Tribolium castaneum: one gene and its partners. The protein of the gene in region 4 binds, or shares a complex with, the protein of the main gene of each other region. Links are inferred from orthologs where the notes say so. Each region holds a gene or a part of one and is shown on either strand. Other genes may lie near its edges.

Region 1 (3,213 bases), on a different chromosome or scaffold from region 4:
ATAATTTATAATAAAAAACTAAATAGTTTTTGACTATGATAAAATTTCCATATAAAATGTATGAGTTTAATTTTCGGGTAACAAAGTTACCTATGGGAAAATAAATCCTTTTGTGCAAAATTTCGCAATATGTAATATAATATTTACAGTACATTTAAAGGATGTATTCGGTATTAACTTCGTATCTATTATGTAAAGCTTAAACGAATATTTTTTACCTATATGGGCATAATCATTAGGTGATTTAATATGCATTATTGATTTTCAAAACGATTCGTATCGAGATTAAATCTGAGCAATTTAAAAAAAAACAACTGTAGTTGTGACCTCTTCGAATAACAAAAGCAATTTTTAATAAAATAAAAATTCCATAAACATTTTTAATGCGGTTTTTATTATGCATACAACATTTAGCTTTTTTCTTATGACAGCAGGGTCGCTTAGTCACTTCGCAGTATAGAGATTTATAGACGTTACGTTTATGCTTTAATAAAACACAAAAAACGGGTAGTTTTAACAGTTTATTTCATATGCAATTACAAAATAGTTACAATGCAGGTAGAGAACGACGAATTATACAAACTTATAAAAACTTAATTATGATAGACTTGTAAGTGGCGGAAATGGATTCTGTTTACTAACAACAACCTTCCTATGTTGATGCGAAATGTATCCTTTAATTTTCCCTTCATAAATAAGATTAGCAACAATACATTCTGTTTCATCCAAATCAACATCAGTCTGTCCTAAATACACTAAAGCAGTCTGCAGTGCTTCAATAGGGATTTGATGCGTATTTAGAATCAAATACACCTTTTTAAACAAATTTCTATATGCTATGATTTTCAGTTTATCAACAATCAGATATATTCCACACTTGATGAAAAAGGTTTCGTGCTTTTCCATAATCTCGTCAAACGCTTTGAGATTACCCTGACATACAGCTTGTACTAAATCCCACAACTGGATGACGTCATACTTCTCCAGAACCTCCTTGCTTGGGATATACCCCAACAACATTTTCACAGGAACTAAGTAAATCAATATAAGCGTTTTGTTCTTCTTACTGAGCTTGTGACAATTTTCAAAAGCATAAGTTAAATACTCATCGGCGACTTTATAATCGCTATCAAACATAGCCTTGCGCCCCACAAAATACCGATATGTGATTTGTTGGCTCAGAGAAAAACTCTCTTTAAACGGTGATGACTCAATCGCTCTGATTAAGGGCTTGCACAAATGTAGCTTATTTATCCGAAAATAAACCTTAAACAATTGATTCACCAAAGCCAACATCCCTATCCTCTTTGTATCCTCCTCTGCTGACCTATTATCAGCAGCACACACCCTGAAACAACCCATCAAGCATTCTGCTGCCTTCTCGAGCATTTCGCCGGGCTTCTCATTAATTCCGCTCCTCTGATTCTCGGCTAATTGCGCCAAAAGACGCAAGTCTAAGCACAAGACATACATAATAGGCAAAGACCAATTCTCCTCCTTTTGCGATTGCAAGATCTTAGTGAAAGTTTGCGTCAAATTGCTCTGAATGTTATAAGCCGATAGATAGTCACTCTGGCTTATGGCAAACAGGCATTTTAGGTGCAAAATCACTAATTCGTCGATAGGGGCGGTCAAAAAACGCTCAACTATTCCCTCAGGACTCTCAATGTGGTAATTGGCATAACCTGCATGTTCGTGGCGAAGAGACAGAAAACTGGCCACTTTTGCACCGTCCTGAGACCGCCAATACCTTTCCACAAGTTGTAGGTAATGAGCAACGGACATAAAAGTCATTTTGCTGAAAAACTAAGGTTAGGGGCGTCAGTTAACCGAAACCGCTTCATTTATAAATGAAATTGAACTGTTACTCACGTGATTTAGGCACAAGTGTTATATTTGTTGCTTCCGTTACGCAAAGAACATTATGTCTTACGAGTTTGACGAAAAAATGTTTGAATAAGCTTGAAAATAAACAAGTCTTTGCAATGGTGATAAAATGGCCGATAGGGAGCGGTGCGATTCATACAAGTAAAATCAATAATAATTTCTGTGACCTAACAAAATTTAAGATATTTGAGCTTAATTCGTGTTATATGTCCCATAGTACTAATAATAGGGATTAAATTAATGCAAATCCTGGAAGTAAAATGCCATAAAAACGAAAACTGTTCGTAGACCAGTTCGCAAGCCGCATGTTTTCTTCCCACACAGAGATGGCGCTCCGAGGAACAGCTTGATGCAACTTGACCGGGAACTTATCCAACTTGATTTTATTAAAAAATTTTTAGGAAATTATAAACACAGTCGTGAAAACGTTTTATTATTCTAGTCAAGGATAAATCATAATTTAAAAATCCATTACACAGGAAAGTAATAACTTCAACAATAATGAATTTAAAGCGCCTAGTAATGGAATTTATGGAAAGAAATTATTTACTTCTTTGCTATTTTAAACTTTAATAATGCTTCACGTGCCAGACCCATAAATCAGTATAATAAGCAATTTAAACGTTAATTGTAGTTTACTTTTAGCTCCTTATGAAACAAAAAAATTAAGTACTGTTTATTAGAAACTAAAGCTACACATTACGAACTTAAAAGTATTTGTTTGTATAGTGCTACTTAAAAAACAAAACCATATTTTACAAAAAAAAACTTATAAGTATAAGTAGGTAGACGACGTTTAAATTACAAACAAGTTATGTTTTAAATGATGACCGTACAAAAGCATATAAAAGGTTTTTATGTTCATCTATAAAATTTAAAAACAAATTTTACAGGGTGTCCCAGCAAAAGTATATTTTTACTGCATGACAAGCTAAATAATTACACAGAATTCCAAATTTGCTTTAAATACTTTTAGTATGCCTTATTATGTACCATAAAAAGTTATTTTTTCTATATCTACATTTTATAATTTTAAAATAAAACAATATAAAAAAGCAATATTCTATATCTTGAATGTCTGTGTGATTAATGATTATGATAGTTTGAGAAATGCAACGTAATTATTAACAACTTAAAAAAGAATCAAAAATAAAGAACTATTTAACAGAATTGACACGTTTACTGAAATATGATTCTGATGTAATTTTTTTAGCTGAATTTAAATCCGAAAGTTTTTTTTTTGATTTGGAATAGCCTTCACTGTAAAAAAGACGTTTATGTAAAAAAATTCAAAAATTAATATAAAGCAAATTTGTGTTCACATCT
Region 2 (4,314 bases), on a different chromosome or scaffold from region 4:
TTGCTGAATGCGATGTCGTCAATTTCCACCGTTCCGCTTCGGCATTAAACTGCGAGACTTTATGATTATGAGCAACTTTTTCAGTAAATTGTGCATTTTCGGGCAGTTCAGGTGGTGGCATCGGCTTATTCCTATACTGTCTAAACCACTCGTTAAACGCCTCATGTGCATCCAAATACGCTTTATAACTCAAATAATTCTTAACAATCTGATGAATCTGCTCTTCGCTGCGTATCTTCTCTATAGAATCGTAAGGAATTTTATTGATTGCCAATTGGGCTGCTTCTAATTTGCCCAAAATCAGAAATTTGAAAATAATAGAATTGGTTTGAGCCAATGCTTCGGCTCGTTGCTCCTCGTAAAACATCAGCCAATCAATAGCGGAGATTTTGAGTTCGTCGATTTCGGTGATTTTACCTTGGAGATTACCGGGAAGTTCGGATTCAGACGGTCGGCTTGTTATAATTTCGACGATTTGTTGCGTTATAGCAAATACGTCCAAACTGAAATCTTCAGCGTAAGTAAGGGCGTTTTTGCGTTGCTCAGTCGAAAGCAGTTTTTCGCAGTGTTTGGCGTAAAGTTGGATTTGTTTGGATTTTCCCAGCTTGCTCACGTAGAAGGCCACAAGCTGGGTTTCGTTCATTTCGCTCAAACGCTCGATATATCTAATTAAACAAATGATATTAAAACACAAGCAACGCAGCGGTGAGTAGCAAACACTTTATGTTTTTTTATAGAAGCTCGAAGTCAAATAAAACAAAAAATAATACCGTAGCTATAAAAAAGTGGTAAAAATATTAAAAGCAATAATTTAGTTCTGACGAGATTATGGTCAACATTAAGAACATAAAATACACTAGACACAAATTTTTTTATAGTCACCATACCGGGAGACTAAAGCGCCCGGCCTTAAGTCGAGTTATACAACCAAGAAAACTTACGTTTCGACGATTTTTTCACACGTTTTTCTATGAGTGGAGTCTCCGACGCTTTCAAAAAACAAAACTAAGTGAGCATAAAATCGAAGAGATTGTGTCGTAACACTTAGATCTTCACTCCACTGATCTAGGAGGCGTATCAGTGTGGGAATTTCGTCTAAAATGACAAGTTTCTGAATTACATGATCAATTTCATGCGCTTCTTTTGCAATGTCAATATTTTTCGAGGCTTCCAAAATTGTAAAAATTTCACTTAATGATTTCTTTTGTTCCCAATATTCTTCAGGTAGTGGTATGTAGTTTTTAATGATTGAGTCGCGAATTTCCGATTCAACACGAATATCGACCATGGTTCGCATGTAGGCCCACAGGTGGTCCTCCCATGTGGTACAAACGGGCAAAATGCCCTCCAAGAAACCACAAAGACTACCAATGGCGGCTTTTTCATAAATGTTCAAGTTTGACTGAAATTTTTTAGTAGTTTTTTCAAATTTATAAAACAGCCTCCTTGATAGATACGAAACTTCGTCTTCAGTCCTAAATTTGGTTAATTATTTTCCAGAAATTTTAAATAAATAAACATAAAATAAATACATGTTTTACAACTGCCAAAGTGACATCGGTTTATCTAGTAACAATGGTATCAAAAAAAAAGATAGCGAAGTTCCCGAACTGTCAAAGAGGCTGTGGAACGAAAAACTTACCCTATGACAATAATCTAATGCGCAAGATTTCCACAAATCCCGCCTTTGGTTCCCTTCTACGTCTTTATACTCTTCAAGACTTGTTTCCAGGTTGGGATTATGAAAAAGCTTCCAGCCTTCTAACATCGCAGCGCGCCATGGATAACCACTGTTGTAACATAACTGAAATTTAATTATTGAATAAATAATAAAAGGCTGAAAACAGCACAAACTTCCTGGGCGCCCTCAAGGTTGCCGCACCTAATTTCCATAAAAATTCTCTGACATAGTTTTTTGTCATTGTCGTAATCCAAGTGGTGCAGCGATAAGCGCTGAAACTGTGGCGCATCTGGATGTATGTTCTTGATAATATCCACATTACTCCCAATTGCAATAGCATCAGGTGCTAGCAATTGATGCAAAGTGTGTTCCCATCCATACGTCCAGTCTGAGTGCATTAAAATGGGGTCCCCCTTCTCCAGAGCGTTCCTCTCGAGCCAATCGATCACCAACTGGCTTTCCCTAACCAAATTCTCTCGTTTGAACAGTTCGCACACACAGTTCTTTTCACTGCTCCCGAAATCCTCCTCAAACCCTTCCTTACTGTGGTTCTGGGCCTGGATCCGATCCTGGTACAGGACATACAGCAGTCTCCAATTATTCCGCTCATTTTCGAGCCATTTCTCTTCGGCTAATTCACTAGTGGCCACTTTGGCTTTCAGTGACTTAACCACCGCCAAAGCGTCACTACAACACCTCGCCAAGTCTTCGGCCACGTCCAGGATATCAAGGCCTCCGGTGGACCCCTGCAGGATATCCGCAAACTCTGTATATAAATTATTAACAGTGTTTTTCCATGGAGTTCCTGCTTGGATCACCGACCCGGTGACCGTTTTGTCATCATCGACAAATAAAGACAAGGTGTTTTGATAAACACTTCCATATTCCAGGCCGGTTAAGTCTTCGGGGTTTATTGTAAAGCTGAGGTTAGGTTTTTCACGCTTTGGAGTTGCGGTCGAGACCTTAAATAGCCCTTTTGTGGGGGTCTGGAGAGCGTCTTCGAGAAGACGCACCGACCGTTCCAAATCATTATCCATTTTTAATAAAAAACACACACAAAAAGCCGTTGCATAACCTCAAAAAACAAGTCTAGCGTTGCCTCAGAGCGTTGCAAAGTCCCTAGATTCAGGTTGGTAACAGTTTTTCTTTTCCTCGATCGTCATTTGTTTCAAATTATCGCGTCTGTTTGTGTTTATCGTGTTTTTTGTTCAAATTGAAGGAAAATTGGTGAAAAAAGTGTTGAATTACGTAACTTAATTAAGTTCAATTTATAAATTGTGGTAGGAAACACCGGTTTTTTTCAAAAATTTGTAAATCATGTGTGAATACTGAATTTGGAAAAATGATGTTACTTAGTGTTAAGTGTAATTTTTACATAATTTGGTGATTCCAGTGACAAAGTAAGGTAAGGTGCATGTTTTTTTAACAAAATTTAACATTATAGCACATTATTGGTACTATTTTCGGAAATTCAGTGAATTTGGTTGGCAACACTTTTTCCATTATCGCGTCTCTCGTGTGTGCCCGGATCTTTTTTGTCTACATTTATGAAAAATTTGTGAAAAAGTTACCTTAATTACGTTTTTTTTATAAATTGTGGAAAAAAAACACCAGTTTTTCCCCGGATATTCCTAAATTCAGTTACTGTGACAATCAGGATTTGGAAGAATGAAGTGTTAAGTGTTAGTTTAGAAGTTCAGTGTTAATTTGGAAGTTTCAAGCACAAAGTAAGGTAACTTGCATGTTTTTCAACAAAATATTAGATTATTGCACATTATTGTGGGCATTATTTTTGGAAATTGGTGAAAAAGCAAGTTTTCTTGAAAACTTGTAAAAAACATCACTTTCCAAATATTTGTCAATTCATTTGTGGTTAGGAAAAGTACATTTTAAGCACAAAGTGAGGTAAATTGTACGCTTTTCAACAAAAATTAGATTACTGCACATTAGTGGTATGTATTTGTATTTTCGGAAATTCATTGACTTAAGATTCTGGAAATATTGGGCGACTTTTCAGTACTTGGAGCGTTTTTTTTTGTCAATAACTTCGGTTGTAGGCATTTAAAGGAGGCAAAAATCCACAAAATTTTTTTTATTTATATTATATTTTCGTTGGTAGCTTAAACTCTTTGAACAAACACTACGCTTATTATTAATTAAATATTATTGTACTAAAATGTTGTAATAAATACTCGTTGTTAGCACTAGTCTAAGCTTACAAAAGAAAATAAATATTTCAACACGTACGCGTATCAAGTTGTACAATCTTATTCAATAATAACAATGTAATAAGGTATAAAAATAGTTAAGTAGTCTTTGCATAATTCAACAATCGAACACTTGTATCTTATCAGCTAGAGATCACAGATGTTGCCAAATAAAAGGCACTAAAAACACGAGTCCGTGTCCATTTCTCACATCCATCTCTAGGAAGAAAGAAAAATCATAATTTGGTTCTGTACACTTCCATTTGTACGTCTTGAGTGAAAGCGGGATTCGCATTTCCGCTCTTTTTATCCATACTGGTGGCACTTGGCGAATGGTTCATCGATTCATTTCTCCGTGTTTTATGTTTGATGGTTTTCTCTGCGTAGCGTCGTTTTTTGCCAGGGAAAAAGTTGGCCATCTTGCGA
Region 3 (4,316 bases), on a different chromosome or scaffold from region 4:
CAATGTTGTTGATATATTTAAATCGTAGTATTTTTTTGTTAAAATCTAGTCTTAATAAATGTTTTTTGTGACACTTTGTTTTATTTTACGTCAAATTAAAATGGGTAAAAAATTGAGTCGTCCACGAGGTAGCGAACAAAGCACTTATTCCCATATTTTTTATACCGGGAGTATCGAAACTATTCCACCATCAATCACCTATCCTTCGATATGTACTTCCCCCTCGTTTCATTTGTCTGAAAAGCCTTCGGTGTCGAAGTGTGACAGTGAATTGATTCATTACGGCGAACTGCAGAGTATGTACATCAAGTCTCAGACTTTCACAGCTGATCATTTGGCCCCCTTGACCATCAGAACCTCACAGTTAGTGCTGTCGCTTCTGAAGAGGCATTTGGGGCAAATTGTTAGCGACATCCACGCAGGGTACTGTTTTATTTAATTTAATTTTTTTGCCTATTCAAAAAATTCATAACTCAAAAACTAAAATTCGTAGAACAAAACGGTTTATTCCAGTGAATTCAGCGACTCATTTTACGTATCATATGTTTTTTTTACAACACTAGCTTACTCCAGAACGTATTTAAACACTTATTTGAATTTGAAAAATGGTGGATGCGCCGGGTTATTTTCTATTTTTTGGCAGGACATTGAAAATGCCTGATAAAGTGGTAGAAAAGTTTGGGGCTGCAAGTGCCCGGAACCCGAATCAGCAAACAGACACATATACTATCCAAAGACGAATGATCACTCATTTCGTCTCGTTACTTCACGTTCATGAAATGGTTTTAACTTATCTCAAACAGAGACGCATCGAACAAGCGCTCGATTTAATCAAACAAATTGCAGTTAGCCACGCACTTAAGGGAATCACAGTGACTGAATTTCGGGTAAGTCCCGATAATTCTCTAACTTGTTTTGGCAAAATACGACTTGCAGTTAGTGGACTGGTTTATTGTCAATTATTTGATAAAAAATAAAGTAAGCACTGACGAGAACATAAACCACTTGATGCTTTACTTAAGCACCCTTTCAAATTACATTGTGCGATATTTCGAAAGTCAAAGTGTTCGCCATACGATGCTCCGGGACATGACTAGTGTGAAAGTAAACGATCGGAGCAACAAAGCAAGGGAAAACTACCGTTTAATGAAACAGTGGACCTCCAGAATTGAACATTCCAGAGGCCAAATTAAGGATCTAATTGACAAGCTCCTCGCAGATCAAGCCCGCATGCAGGAAGCCAGAGAGGCAGAAATTAGGAGCATTGACACTCAAACGCTCAAAGAAAAAGACTTCATTATGCGATTTTTCGTACGCAAGAAACCGACAGAATCGCGCTCAACGTCACACTCGCACCAGGAGAAGGCCTCAACGTGAGTATCACCCCAATATAACAAATTCAAAATACCCGCCCACAGGATTGACGGCGAAGTTAAATCCCTACCGTTACCGTTCTCGCTACCAACCCAAAACGAAAGTAACCCTAGTAACCGAACAGATTTCTAAATTACCGACCCGGCTAACCGCTCTCCTCAAACAAAATTCGAAAAAAATACGGTTTTTTTGAATGAAAAGGCGCAAAATTTCGTGTTATTTAACGCTTCCCGACCCGTATTAATGGACAATACCGCCAAAACTTTCGTAAGCAGCGATCAATTTTTGAGGTTAGGTCATAATAACTTGTAGGTTATTCCAAATGAGTTATGCCGACGTGCTGGAGTGGCGGCTTCGTGGCTTTCCGTCAACGAATTCGGTGTTTTCGGCCACCAGAAAACACCAAAAGTTGATAAACCGAGTCACTTTGCCCCCTCGGACGCCTCTGTGTTTCAGCTGCGCCCCGACATTATTCTCTTCAAACCAATTTTACGCAAATTGGTAAATGAGGCCAACGGGACGTTTCTAACCCTTCAAGCCCTTGTAGCCACTGAGGGCGACCACAAGGCCGAATTATTGAAACTTAGCCGGCAGTACAGGTCCATAATAAGGGCCTGTTTGGAGAATTTGCAAGACGAGGTGATGCGAGCCGATGGCGATTATCGCGAAGAATTGCAAAATTACATTACGATTTTTTACTCAGTTGAGTGTATTTGGCACTTGTGTGAAATCTTATTTGTTGATGCGGTCCCAGGTGGGTTAGTGACACGGATATCTAAAAGCTAGGATGCGAAACGACGTACAAATAAAACGTCCTGAACTCGGTAGTTTTATCGTTAACTATATTTAAAAAAAATTCCGGACTTTTTTAGGTTCAGAAAATCCGGTAATTTCGTACATCGTTTCCTCCTAAGTTATAGACCTCTGTAGTGACACAAAATTTGGGGATTTTTGCCAAACAGTTGGGGTTTTAGGCAACATTGTTTTGCCCCACTTACTGGACTGGATTCGGTTTCATTTTCCGAAATATGACCGAAATGCGGCAAGTATGTTGGCTGGGGATTTGGGTGGTTTGGAGTCACACCCTGACTATTGGGAAACTGTCATTGGGTCACTATTACAAGGGCGGGTCAAGGTCGTTAGGGCCCTACTTAAATTACACTCAGAAGCTGAGTCACAACCTTTCAGAATTGTGGATCAGTGTCTGAGAGCAATGCCGGTTTATAACGTAAGTAGGCTGGGAGAAATTGACAGGTGTTCATGGCCGACTTTAGATGTTTAGTGGGACTTCAATCGCTGAATTTAATCTACAATGGAATCATTGGGTCGTGGATGTTCAATCGAAAATTGATGCGAAAATGTTTATTTCTTGTTATAATCTCAATTTGATTATGAAGGTTTTGTTTTAAGTGTGTTTGAGTTGGTAGTTTTCTTTATAAGATTTTTTGTAGCTTACGGTTGGTAACGAAATTGCATGGGGGGAAATACAGCAGTATTGCGAGACGTGGTATGAAATGTTAGCCGCGTGGTTATTTTTTACCCAACCTACTGTTAAATCGTTTGAGTTGGGACAGTTTGCCAAACAGTGTATCACGAAAATGTCCATAGGGAATAGAATTAAGCATTTGGATAGGATGTTGTTGGCAGCAATGGAGTTTGATATTTTACAGGTAATATGGCGCCACCTCTGTTAAGTTATTAAATAAAACTGAGACTTTTGAATAATCCTGTATTTTTCGGCTATACTTTTAGTTTTACACTTTTTTGCAAATGTACACATAAATTCTAACATTTCTTTGCCAGGTGATTAAAGAAATCCAAAATATGACAGACAGTGGCTGGTTTGTGAGCCACTTAACCGACCTACTTTACCATTCAGGCCGTCTAAGCGACACAACTATCGAAACTATTGAAAATTTGTGAGTCCCCGATTTTTTTTAAACCGTTTATTTTACAATTATTATTTCAGCCACCCTGATAAATTGCGCGAGTCATTTTTAATCGATTATGGCTCGCTTTTAATGGGCCATAAGTCACTATGGCAGGTCGGTTTAAGCTACTTGGACCACTGTCCCAGCGATGGCCCTGAAGTCACAAAATTACTACTTGCAAGACTGCCTCTAAATTCCGAAATGCGGGCTGAGAAAATTGTGAGAGAGGCTCTGAACCGGAATTTAACCGAAACGGCACAAAGTATTTGTAAAGTGCAAGGAATGGCTTGTAAAAACCGGGGGCGTCTGGGACACGCCCTCGCCTGGGCCCTCAAATCACAAGACGGCACTTTTGTGTCGTTTTTATCGAACAAATTTCTGCGAGAGTATGCCGAAAGTGGCGATTTGAACAGTATTGATCTTTTGGATAATCTCGGATCGTGTATTTTGGCAAGCGATAGGTTGATGTTTTTAGGCAAATATTACGAATTCCAGAAGTTATATCAAGCGAACGAGTACAAAGAAGCCGCCAATTTGCTCGTTTCGTTACTTGAGTCGAAAATAATACCAAACTTGTAAGGGGAAAACACTTAAAATTGCGGTTTTTTATCTAAAGATTATCTTGTAGTTTCTGGAGTATTCTATTAACTGACGCAATACCGCTACTTGAGTGCGAAAAAATGGTTTTTTCCTCAACTGATACCTACATCATTATGCAGTGTTTGGAAGAGCAGGAAAAAACCAAAGACTTGAAAGACAAACTTCCGATCTTGAGACTGTCAGCGACCCGGAATTTAGCACGAGCTTTGGTACACGAAGCCCAATTAAAATGATGATTTTTTTAACAATTTTTTATTAAATAAATACTTTACGTAAACAATAATACTTTTAATTGGCCACTTTAAGTGCACTCGCCAAGTCCTCAAATTCCTCAATTTTCGTATCAGTGATTGTGTCAGGGTCACTGTAAGTCACTCTGGCCGCAAAAAATTTCTCTTTTAACATAAGGGG
Region 4 (3,636 bases):
AGAAACCATAACTTCGACTTCCTGGATTGACAACCATGTAATTTGCACTGTGTCAATGGACCATACGATTAAATTTTGGGATGCTGAGTTGTGTGGTATCAAGAATGAAATAGTTGGCCAGAAGGCATTTTTGGATTCTTCTTGGTCTTCCCTATCTAACACATTATTAGCATGTTCAGCTGATAGACATATTCGGTTGTACGACCCAAGGTCTTCAGAGGGTTCAGTGGTCAAGACTACTTTCACCTCACATACGCTATGGGTCAGTTCAATTGAATGGTCAAAATACGATGAACACCTTTTTATGTCGGGAGGATACGATTCTGGTGTCAAATTGTGGGATTCCAGAAGCCCTAAAGCCCCACTTTATAATTTAGAGGGACACCAAGGGCAAGTCCTAGCTGTAGATTGGTCCAATAACAAGTATCTGGTCTCTGGAGGGTGCGACAATAGTGTACACATTTTCAGAAATAATTATGTGTTTTAAGTGAAAAATAAAATTAATTTTAAAAAAATTTATTAGTTTCAGCTTACAAAATTTAACGTAAAACATTTTCCTTCATTAACGCCAACTGGAGAATGAGGAGCTCCTACAAAAAAAAATGTACTATGCCATTTATCAGTTTAAAAATTCTTACCCAGAGAACGGCGCACTCTGCGCTGGGGCGTTGGCAGCTTGCTGTGCCAAATTCCCAAACCCTACTGTTGGTTGATTGGCTAAATTACCAAAAGCTGTGTTCTGGGTACTAGCAGCTGCCCCAAACCCGGGGCTTGAGGACCCAAACACCTTTGAAGTATTCCCAAAAGCCGGTGGGCTGCCAAACGCCGGCGCTCCTCCAAAACTAGGCGAACTCCCGAAACTGGGCGATCCCCCGAAAACGGGAGCTGCCCCAAATCCCGGTTTTTGGAAGCTCTGACCTGCCCCAAACCCGGTTTGTCCCACAGTTCCACTCCCACCACTGAAGGGCCCCGCAGGTTGCTGACCGAAACTGCTACCCCCGAAGAAGGACGACTGTTGGCCGAAGGAAGATTGGTTCCCGAAACCGGTACCAAAACTCTGGGACGTGTTACTGAAGAGCGATCCACCACTGGAACCGAAAACTGAGCCACTTGACGACACTGGAGAGGCTCCGAAAACGCTCTTATCGCCCCCGAAGGGGTTCGCAGGTGCACCGAAACCCGAACTTGCAGTCGTTGAAACATTGAGACTTCCGAAACCGAACGTTCCGGAACTGGTATTGGTGCCGAAAGTACCGGACTGAGTAGTGGCAGGGGCGAAGACATTCGACGAACCGAAAATAGAGGGAGTCGTAGATGCAGGTGCCCCAAAAAGTGAGGGGGCAGTGGACGCAGGTGCTCCGAATAAAGATCCACTAGTACCGAAAGTACCTCCGCTTGTAGTCGTTGCCCCAAAAATGCTCCCAGAGCTCGTAGTTGGTGCATTTCCAAAGACGGAACCACCCGTTTGGCCAAAAGCGGGTGCTGAACCCCCGAAAACGTTCGTACTACCTGACGAACCAAAAACAGAACCTTGACCAAAAGCGCTTGTATTTTTGCTCCCATCGAAGGGCTGGCTTTGGCCGAACGTTGAAGAAGTTGTGGTACCACCAAATATCGACGGCTGTGTGCTTCCGAATATTGACGGTTGAGTCGCATTTGGTTTTGCATTAAATAGGGAAGGCTTTTGGGCGGCGTCTCCAAAAAGACCGAACCCTTGAGATTGAGTTGTCGTTGTAGGACTGGCAAAAGTCGACTGAGTGGTACCAACAGGAGTTCCAAAAACTGGGGTAGTGGGAGAGCCGAAAATTGACGATTGTGTCGTAGCTGCAGCCCCAAATGAACTAGTAGACAAAGGGGTAGCACCACCAAAAATCTGAGTGGTAGGTGTGGTAGCGCCAAAAACAGTCGCTGGTGAAGTACTTGACGAAACATTGCCAAAAATTGACGGCTTTGATACATTACTATCGGTACTTGCAACAGTACCAAAGACAGAAGCTGTAGTGGAGGATGATGGCAGGGCTCCGAAGATGGATGGTTTCGAAACGTTTGAATCCGTGGTTGCAACAGCCCCAAAAACACTTGATGCAGTTGTGCTGCTAAATATTGACGGTTTCGAGGCGCTAACTTCGGTACCACCAAAGAGTGGTTTAGTTGAAAGAGCACCACCGAAAAACCCAGTTGTGGGCGGAGCTGAAGATATGGTTGGAGACTGAGTAGTACTACTAACAATAGAGCCGAAAATTGATGAAGTTGTCGCTGGCGAAGAGAAAATTGATGAAGTTGTTGCTGGCGAAGAGAAAATTGATGACGTTGTTGCTGGCGAAGAGAAAATTGTTGAAGTTGTTGCTGGCGAAGCGAAAATTGATGGAGTTGTTGCTGGCGTTGAGAAAATACTAGTTGAAGATGGGACTGTTGTAACAACAGGAGCTGTAACACCGGTAGTTGTAACAGCTGTAGTAACAACAGTGGCCGCACTGGTGGCGATTTTCGGTGTTGTAGTTACGGCAGGAACAGCCGGTGAGGGAAAAATAGATGATTTAAGTGCCCCCAATGAAAACGGTGAGGACTGAGTTGATGGAGTGCCACTGGTAGTACTAACTGAATTTGGAGCTGTTACACCAAAAGTGGGTTGGATTGAGACTGGACTCGAGACAGCTTGCGTTGTTTTAGGACTGGTTGTTACAGAAGTCGTAGGGAAAATTGAACGTTGGGTACTGCTAGCAACGGGGGAAACGGCAGAAACCACCACATTTGGAGTACTTGTTGCAGAAGTAACTACTGGCTTTGTAGAAAACGTAAAGGTTTTCGATGTCGCAGCTTCGGTCACTTTTTGTGTTGCTGCACCGAAAATACTTGAAGTATTAGTAGCGCCACCGAACGAAAACTGGGTGGAGGTTGGTGCTGTGGTGGTAGCAATACCAAATGACGGAGTAGAAGTTTTCGTAAAAATCGTACTTTCCGCGGTAGTACTAACACTCGTGGATAGATTAAAAACAGAAATAGACGTACTGGGTTTGGTAGTCGCTGCACTACTTGTTAAAATGGGCGCCGCACTAGTAGTTTGTAAACTGAACGAAAATGTAGTTTTAGGCAAAGATGTGGCAAAGAGGTTTGTCCCCACCTTTGGGGTACTGCTAGTAACTGGTTGGGAAGACAAATTAACAAACGATTTAGGTGCTTGCATGGTTGCAGTACTAGTCACTGCCACAAAACTGGGACTTGTTTTAATAATAGACGCTGTCACGGCTGTAGTTGCAGCCATGAAGGTGGGTTTGTAAGTATTTGCTGATGCAGAAACCGAAGTTGAGACAAAAGCCGAATTTGGAGACCCAGCAATCACGTTTTTAGTCAAAGGCGTGAAAGTTTTCTCGGGCAAATTTGTGAAATTTTTAGCCTCGAATTTAAGGGCTAAATTTTGTAAACCTTCGATTGGAGTTGCCGTGGAGTCGAATTTGAGCACAGTGGGTTTGGGAGTTGACTGCGCAAAATCGAGAACCCGAGGTGCAACTGAAGTTTTTTCGGGAAGCCGACTAAGTTGTTTTGGCGGAGTTTGGATTACGGAACTGGCCAATTGAGGCTTCACGAATGAAATATGTGGATATTCTCTTTTTTGGAGAAAAGTCCGCAAATCTTGGA

What was found.
Region 1: Nup214 (region 4) and PCID2 share a complex: the UniProt entries of both Drosophila melanogaster proteins name them as parts of the nuclear pore complex. The link is inferred for Tribolium castaneum from reciprocal best matches to the Drosophila melanogaster genes Nup214 and PCID2.
Region 2: Nup214 (region 4) and Nup107 share a complex: the UniProt entries of both Drosophila melanogaster proteins name them as parts of the nuclear pore complex. The link is inferred for Tribolium castaneum from reciprocal best matches to the Drosophila melanogaster genes Nup214 and Nup107.
Region 3: Nup214 (region 4) and Nup75 share a complex: the UniProt entries of both Drosophila melanogaster proteins name them as parts of the nuclear pore complex. The link is inferred for Tribolium castaneum from reciprocal best matches to the Drosophila melanogaster genes Nup214 and Nup75.

Annotation. Positions count from the first base shown.
Region 1 is NC_087397.1:8,459,980-8,463,192, forward strand, and holds PCID2 (PCI domain-containing protein 2), read right to left. Parts: upstream 2,028-3,213; 5' UTR 1,873-2,027; intron 1,807-1,872; 5' UTR 1,795-1,806; coding exon 598-1,794; 3' UTR 509-597; downstream 1-508. UniProt on the Drosophila melanogaster protein: Required for the export of nuclear mRNAs and involved in mRNA trafficking in the cytoplasm.
Region 2 is NC_087395.1:26,509,796-26,514,109, reverse strand, and holds the start of Nup107 (nuclear pore complex protein Nup107), read right to left. Parts: upstream 2,809-4,314; 5' UTR 2,719-2,808; coding exon 1,855-2,718; intron 1,805-1,854; coding exon 1,643-1,804; intron 1,403-1,642; coding exon 942-1,402; intron 666-941; coding exon 1-665. Other genes in the region: sodium-coupled monocarboxylate transporter 1, read right to left, coding at 4,125-4,314. UniProt on the Drosophila melanogaster protein: Plays a role in nuclear pore complex (NPC) assembly and maintenance. Required for nuclear import of Mad. Mediates the association between the nuclear pore complex and a subset of active chromatin regions adjacent to lamin-associated domains.
Region 3 is NC_087399.1:876,572-880,887, forward strand, and holds Nup75 (nuclear pore complex protein Nup85), read left to right. Parts: upstream 1-1,508; 5' UTR 1,509-1,617; coding exon 1,618-1,641; exon of another isoform or gene 1,642-1,686; coding exon 1,687-2,128; exon of another isoform or gene 2,129-2,348; coding exon 2,349-2,602; exon of another isoform or gene 2,603-2,648; coding exon 2,649-2,771; exon of another isoform or gene 2,772-2,825; coding exon 2,826-3,044; exon of another isoform or gene 3,045-3,177; coding exon 3,178-3,293; exon of another isoform or gene 3,294-3,343; coding exon 3,344-3,880; exon of another isoform or gene 3,881-3,933; coding exon 3,934-4,138; 3' UTR 4,139-4,188; downstream 4,189-4,316. Other genes in the region: mRpS23 (small ribosomal subunit protein mS23), read left to right, coding at 1-28; uncharacterized protein LOC660898, read left to right, coding at 59-423, 644-887, 937-1,373, 1,419-1,506; oxidized purine nucleoside triphosphate hydrolase, read right to left, coding at 4,194-4,316. UniProt on the Drosophila melanogaster protein: Component of the nuclear pore complex (NPC) that seems to be required for NPC assembly and maintenance. Required for nuclear import of phosphorylated Mad via importin msk.
Region 4 is NC_087398.1:6,201,336-6,204,971, forward strand, and holds the end of Nup214 (nuclear pore complex protein Nup214), read right to left. Parts: coding exon 639-3,636; intron 591-638; coding exon 563-590; 3' UTR 501-562; downstream 1-500. Other genes in the region: ribosome biogenesis protein WDR12 homolog, read left to right, coding at 1-487. UniProt on the Drosophila melanogaster protein: Part of the nuclear pore complex. Serves as a docking site in the receptor-mediated import of substrates across the nuclear pore complex including emb, RanGAP and phosphorylated Mad. Protects mbo/Nup88 from proteasomal degradation at the nuclear pore.